Tribolium castaneum: one gene and its partner. The protein of the gene in region 1 purifies or fractionates together with the protein of each later gene. This does not show direct contact. Links are inferred from orthologs where the notes say so. Each region holds a gene or a part of one and is shown on either strand. Other genes may lie near its edges. The genes, in order: ebo and zinc finger matrin-type protein 2.

The links.
Region 2: the proteins of ebo (region 1) and zinc finger matrin-type protein 2 purify together in Homo sapiens (co-immunoprecipitation; 3 studies listed by BioGRID and IntAct, with this or other methods). This does not show direct contact. The link is inferred for Tribolium castaneum from reciprocal best matches to the Homo sapiens genes XPO6 and ZMAT2.

The regions. Positions count from the first base shown.
Region 1 is NC_087399.1:5,109,354-5,113,921, forward strand, and holds the start of ebo (exportin-6), read right to left. Parts: upstream 3,030-4,568; 5' UTR 2,893-3,029; coding exon 2,890-2,892; intron 2,760-2,889; coding exon 2,553-2,759; intron 2,504-2,552; coding exon 2,306-2,503; intron 2,262-2,305; coding exon 2,084-2,261; intron 2,005-2,083; coding exon 1,766-2,004; intron 1-1,765. UniProt on the Homo sapiens protein: Mediates the nuclear export of actin and profilin-actin complexes in somatic cells.
Region 2 is NC_087395.1:20,716,765-20,719,897, reverse strand, and holds zinc finger matrin-type protein 2, read right to left. Parts: upstream 1,535-3,133; 5' UTR 1,418-1,534; coding exon 818-1,417; 3' UTR 769-817; coding exon of another isoform or gene 703-768; 3' UTR 661-702; downstream 1-660. Other genes in the region: uncharacterized protein LOC656218, read left to right, coding at 463-655, 703-768. UniProt on the Homo sapiens protein: Involved in pre-mRNA splicing as a component of the spliceosome.

The DNA of each region.
Region 1 (4,568 bases):
TGAATAAAAAACTTTATTTTTGGTTACTTTATTTTTCTTTAAAAACATTTTTTGTTAATAATATTTTAAGCCTTCTTTTTAATATATAATTCTATAATATATAATTCTATAATATATTAATATATAATTATAAATACTATTTTAAAACACGTTTCCCATAGTATCGTGTTTTAAATGTTCCAGTAAAAAAAATTTAACAACACTCATACGAAAACGCTTAAAATTCTCGGGTGTCTAGATATGTAACTCGCATACGCTCGTACAACAACCCTCGAACTTTAAGCTTGTGTTTTCGCACTAGTATTATATATCTATCTATAATTGACCAAAAAAACATGTGTTTACTCACTAATCTTAGTGCACAAAGCATTCGTTTTTTTTCACTGCATTACTTTGCGTACTGTAATGTAAAAATGATTGCGTTTTACGCTCTTTAATGTCAAAATTTCTAAACGTTAGAATGAGTATTAATAATTAATTTGCAGTAAAAATGTTGTATATATTACGTTCCCAAAGCTGTTTTTTAAGCTTTCGAATGTATTTTAACTATTTTTTTTATTTTTGTCACAATGTAGATGATCTACTTATGTCAACTACTGTATTGTCTTCATTCATTTAACCTTTCCCAGTAGTTAAACCTTTATGTAATGGTTATAAATGGAAAAACAAATTTGAAACTCATCACTTCATCAGTTTAATCTCCTTATTTAAAGACTTTTTTAAGTACCTACCTTATTAAAAAAAATTCATTACCATACCAAATTCATACTGAAATGTGAAGACTTTAAACAAAAAATAAATTTTAATTAATAAACATTTAAATAATTTTAGTAACATAGAAATCACACAGAAATCAGTGTTAAAAGCTTTGTTTTTTTCTACTGTGTTTGTGTATTAATTATTTTTTTCTACTTATTTACTTACCTTATAATGAAAATAAATACATATACTAGGAAAAAAAGAAAGAAGACCAACAGTAACAAACGCCTTTGAAATTTTTGACCTTTTTTTTGAACAAGAAAGTATAAAATGGTAAGAAAAAAAATTTGAATTCTCTCAGAATCCCTCCCATATAAAATAAAAATTAGGTAAAAAAAACAAAATTAGTTATTGTTTTTTTATACAAAACGATATCTCAATCTTATTTCGGACGAGTCGATTAACGAACAAATTTTTCCAACATTATTATTTCGATTAATTTTCAAAAGAAAATATTTAACAACGTATTTAGAAGATATATCTTTGTTTGAACAAAAACAAGCGATAAAGTTATCGGTTCCCGACCATTTTCTTACAGCCTGACAAATTGTAATTTTCTGTGTTTCTGCGGAAAAAAATTGAAAGATGGATCAAGGTAACGACAGATATCAACCCCCGCCAGGTAGAGGTGATAATTTTTTGTTGACTGACTTATTTACTAACATTTATTTTAATAAAACAATTAAGCAAAGTATTTTTTAGGATACCACATTTTCAAATTACGAGTTGCCGACCTCCCTGACAAAGACTTCATCGAAGTCGAAGTTTCATCCGACCAAATATCAACCTATGATGATTTTCTCAAATTTTGTTGTTACGAATTTCACATTCCGTCCACAAACTACGTGGAAAAAATTCGCAAACTGCCCTCGACCCGAGTCCGAAATGACGCGGACATACGGAGGTTCCAAACGTTTGAATCTTTCGAGCTTGTTTTAGTAAACCCGGAACGACTCAATCAAAACAAATAAAAACCAGTTGATCCGTATCGCGTTTTTATACTCACTTGAGCATAGCTGGATATGTTGGTGAAGTGAAAAATGGCTTTAATGATCGACGGGGGAATTTGGTTGATTTGCACCCAAGTAAAGAGGTGTTGCACTGTCTCCAGGGCTTCCTTATTCAGGGCTTTGCTGTCGGGCTTGAAGGTCGCAGTGGCCAGTTGCTGGGGGAGGCTGGGAGCGGACGTGGGGTGGGTTGGGGACGGGGGCGGGGTCGCTGTAGCGGTGTGTCTAGGTTTAGTGCCTACGTAATTAAAAAAAAATTTGGTCAAAGTGGGCGACTGAAATGCTGCCAACTTAATTTTCGGTTCGAGGACACGTACCTAAATTTTCGAGAATCGTGTTTAGTGAATCGAAAACCACAGGAATGTACTGATGAAGCAGTCTTGTAATTTCGTCTTTTCTACCATTCTCAAACGAGGCTTGGAGCCCCATCAACTCCTCGCTTGTCGTTTTCAGTAAAATTAAACCAATCAGTTGATTTGGTTCGGATTTCAACAACTGAAAATTTGTATCAGTTGGGTGTCTTAAACTGGGTTTTTTACCTCAATAATGTTAATAAAAAAATTCGGGTACTGCGATGGCCAGTCTTGTTTTGCTATAATTACGAGCAATTTGGCATATTTGCTCCTTATAAAATGGGGTGCGCTGTTTCCTTTCTCTATTAAATAATTGTACAGTGTGTTTTTTAACTCTTCTCGAAAAGGCCAATCAGTATTTGCCCACTGTTGATTAATCACAGACTAAAATACCAACTTATGTAAAACCACAATTTGTACAAAAAAGACATACCTCTAATGTCGATAAGGCAAACATAGTCACATATTGACTAGAGGTATTTGTAAGAAAGTACAAACACAGTTTCCGTGATTGGGGTAGGTATTTAAATGAACTGAGCTGCTGTTCAATTTCATGTTTTCGTGAATTGCTTGTGACCGGGTTAAAAAATTCATCCAGTAGGTACTCCAACGCAACCAAGGATTCATTCTCGTTACGTTCCTTCAAAAACAGGCAAAAACGTTATTTTATAAGGAAATTATTCAAAAAAATCGTTTTTCCCCAAGTGAGGTTATGTAAGTCTAACTTGGACAAGTCGCTTCAAAACCGCCGCAATCTTCCACATACTAACCATTTTTTATGTCTGCTATATCAACAAATGCATGACATTGATGCAACGATGTTAATTATTAGTAAATAACGTTATTTAACTTTACGAAATTATCAACATTTTGACGTTTCTGACGTCGGCAGTTACTTCACGTGGGCGATGTTGGCACCTTTACGGCGCATAGTTTGAAATAAACAGATATTTTTCACATTATAGCACATAAATAAATATTGATTGCCACTGCCATTATTAGTTTCTATTAGCGTTGGTATTTTCAAATTGTATTAGGTGCAACCAGGCTTGTATCTGTTATTTAGTAGTAGTAATTTACTAATATGAGCTTGGCATAATCATCAAATAATGATGATAAATCCTGCATCATAGAACATGAAACATGAACAAGTATAAATAATATAAATTGATTGACAATTTTCACTTGAGTCGGAATTCGTTCATTCCACTTATATTATGCAGCCCTGTGTGGTGGTTGCAACATTATTTTATTCCAACAAAAACACCCTTTCGCTTTTTGTTTTGTGACACCTTTGATAAGGGTGACAAATTGTTTGGGCTTTATCACATGACGTTTGTTAGATAGGGTCATATGCTGTTGTATGGCCAGAAACGGGTCAATTTTTACGCAATGTAACAATTCTTTTGTTACATACAAATTAAACCTAATTTCATTTCGGTTCATTCATCACAAAATAAAAAAACACCTCTAAACATATCAATCAAGCTCTTAACTCAGCTCGTTAAGTAACTAAATTCAAAATCCAGGTTGCCGGTTATTTAGTGTTGCATTGGCTGAATTAATCAAACTTTTGAATTGAATTGAATTGCATGAGGTTTCAGTAATTTAACTTAGCTATGTGCTCTGAGGAAGACGTACAAACTAAATTTGGAGAAGTATTTATTGTTACCGTAATGATCTCAATAATTACAATAAAAAAGTTGGTTAATAAACATTGTGACTAAAACACTAAACATAAACATTTCGGGACAGCGGTAGGAGATTTATGTTCCTTTCTTACCTAAACCTAATGCGTCTACTAGGGAAGAAACATTTGTTCGTTTTTTATGTTTATGTGAGGTTGGTCTCTTGGTTTTTTATTAGAACAAGAGAATTCACCTTTGAATGATTACTTCCGAGTTTGCAAACTTATGCAGTCCGGTACGGTTTAAAGTAAACAGAGAAATATTTTTGTAAAAAATAATCAGTCCGAATTCCGAGGCAAATGCTTCAAAAACCGCAGTTGTCGTGTAAAACACAAATTGCTCTCAAAGCCAAAGCTTCCGACTTGACTTTGTGATGTGCAATTAAACCGTGAGTGATCCCTCTGTTCGAGCCTCCAGTCGGTTTAGTTGGGAAAGGAAGAAAATGATTGACTATTTCTGCATTAAATTTTATTTATTCACGATCAAGCGCGAATCAACGTTTCTTAATTAAGCGCACACAATTTCAGTCACGCCGCTTTTTCAAAATTAAAATCCAATTGTTTGGCGACTATTCGACAATACTCAGCTATATCGGAAAAATCATGTATAAATAAAGCGGAATTTGCGTCGAAAATTGCATTTTTGCCGATTCAATCTGCGTTAGTTCGTGATGAAAGAGTAATTTTTAATTGCAGCTAGGAGTCGTAAAAATAATAATATCCCAGTGTCTGATGGAATCCGGATACAAGCTCAGAGAAGTA
Region 2 (3,133 bases), on another chromosome or scaffold:
ATTTCTGTTGTTCTGGCACTAAACCAGCAAAAAACTCTTTTAACAATCCGGGGAAAAACATTTCTGATACGACATACATGAAAGCATGACGTCAAGTCAAAGACATTTCATTGGTTTATTTGTAAGTGGTCGATATGGAATTTAGTAAAATTCATTTTTACAAAAAATAAAGATATTTTCACACCACACGCCACTGCGTTTTAACGCGATTACATCGAAAAGTTCGTTACGAACTTTGAAAAAATCGCCAAATTAGCCAAAAATATTGTTTTTACTTTTTTCAAGCCTTCAACAAGTTTTGGAGCTAAAAAGTTGAAAATATGCAATCAAGTTTGGTGCAACGGCAACTTAATAAAATATAATTAACATTTGAATTTAATAGTACTTACATGTTACCTTTGAGTGTTACGAAACTTATTTAACATCATGGGCTTCTTTGATCAAATATTTAATTGTTTTCAGGGCTTACAAAGACATAGCTGACTGTTATTACATCAAAACTGCGAAAGTGTGTGGAAACAGCGCTGCAGCAACAACTAAAGAACTTCTACAGTCGATAATTGACAGTATTCTCACAATAAGCTGTGACAATGTGAAGGAGACGCCCAAAGTCAAGGACCCAATGCCTGAGGAATATATGAAAAAAGAAAATAAGGCAACTTGTTCCTTCACATTTATTTCATTTACAATTATTTTTTACAGGCTGACACAATGATTCTTCCAACTGTACTTCACTTACTAGTTAGCATAATATTGATTTTTATTTAAACTTCAACAAATCTAAATTATTGTAATAAAGGTATTGAAAGACATTTTGCTACTTTTTTTTAGACGATCCAAAACCTGCAAATCCCATAATGCTAGCAAGCTCACTTGCTTGTTCAGATGTTTCTTCCAACATTTCCTCAGCTTTTCGCTTCTCTTTCCTTTTCTCCCTCCTGTATTCGCGTAGCTTTTCCTCTTCTTCGGCAATTTCCTGCATGCGAGCTGCCATATCGTAATCTTTTTTCTTCTCCTCCATTTTCCGCTTGTTTTGGTCAAACCTTCGTTTAACTGCGTCCAGACTGCTGCGTTCGATCCGCATCGACATTCCCAAGTTTCGTTGATGCTTTTTGCCATTGATGTGATCCAAAAAGTTGATTGAATCTTTAACAACACAGTCGCAGACGTTGCAGTAGTAGCCCCCCGATTGTGATGTTGGTGTGTTTTTGTTTATTACAATGCTTTTGCCAAGCTTTGAATCCAGGTCTACTTTATACTCTCGGGTTTTTAGCATTTCACGTTTCACCGGGGGGCCTTTCTTTTTCTTGGTTTCTTCTTCGAGGCGCTCGATTTCTTCCCTCTTGCGCTCCTCGGCTAACCTCTCGTATTCGTCCCTGTCCCATTTTCGGCGGTGGTCGTCTGGTCGCATAGTCATTTCTGATGATTTTTCTTTAGCAGGATCACAATCAATTAATAAAAACTCAAGTACAATAACAGTGTTGACAAACTGCAGTACACATTGACAGCTGTCAAATTTTCAAGGTTAGGTTATGTTGCTAACTTCATAAGAATAAAGGTTCATTTTCTAATAAATTGCGAATTTGCGCCATTCAGGATGTTTATATATATCATTAGATTATTACAATTGAATTCATTAAACTCATAGAATACTTAATAGATTTTTTAATTTTTTGGTTATTCGACTCTGCTATTACATCTAACGAAGTTAGCTGGGTTACCTGTTTAAAAATTTAAGATGGGAAAAGATCAAAAAAATCCCGTAATCAAGACAATTAGTTATTTATTTCAATTTTTTTATTAATTTTTAAAATCTAATTCACAGAATCTTTCGTTTGCAATTTTTCAGTCTGTGGCTGTTCAAACTACCACTACGTTATGAGTTAGTTATAAGTTATAAATACCAAAGAAAAAGTGGATAACTCAAAAAATTTAAATTTTTAACAAATTATTATTTTGGGTAGGCAACACAATATTCAAATGGCAGCCTACGCAACTAATTATACAGAGTGTTCCAAGTTTTATGGTCGAAGCAAAAATTAATATTCTAGTCGAGTACAAATAAATTAAATTAATTTAAATTACAAAAAATCAAATTGAATTTAATTCAAAATTAAACTAATTCAAATTAAGTAGCATTAAATACATTGACAAATGTCGAGTTAACCGCGATTAAAATTTAATTGCAATTAAAATGTTTTGTAAACCGGCGCTCTTAGTCTAGACAATTAATTACGCTACCATTTGATATTTTGAATGTGGTCAAGTATTAATTGCTGTGAAACATTATAAACCAATTTTTTAAAATAAAGTTCAAGGTGTATTTTCTATTATATGATAAAATTCTTTCAATATTTAAAACCGTAACTGCTAACATAGAATTATACGATTGTTGCCAACTTTTGAGTAATATTATTATTATTACATTATCAGAAAATTCTGATGTGGGCTCTATTCCACAAACGACTTTTACACTTTGCGCTTGCACGTTCCCGAACACCTTTATGTTCCACCAACAACAGTATTTTGCACACTTAGCAAAAAATATACTTAGCAAAAATACTTCTTTTTACAAAAATATGCCAAAACAAATGCAAAGATTGGTGGAAGACATTAACTTTAAAATTTGCAATTTATGCAAAATGCAAAGTTGCAAAAAATTTTAGTGGAACAAGGTGATATTTAGTGATTAAGGTGATATTAAAAAAAATATCAATTTTAAAAAGCCGATTATGGCGAAACTATAAAGATTGTAATCAAAATCTATTTGATACAATATTACATGCAGCGTTGAGCAAAAGTATTAAATCAAGCGTTTTGTGCGTAAACTATGTACCTTACAAAAAATACTAATTAGTACATCATTAACTACTTTAAAAATGTAACGATTTAAAAAAAAAATTTTGTTCGAAATAATTTTTCAAAATTTCAAAAGTTAAGTAAACCTTACATTATTCAGTTAAACGAAATAAAAGGTAGGGCAAAAGTGATGTCGCATATTTGCGGTCACATATTTTATGTACTCAACGTCAGCATCAGTAGCGCGCAATAGTTAATAATTTATTTGTCCGTGTAGGTTAGAGAACATACGTTTTTTAAAACTGATTCTTATGCAAAATTTTCTGCTGATTTC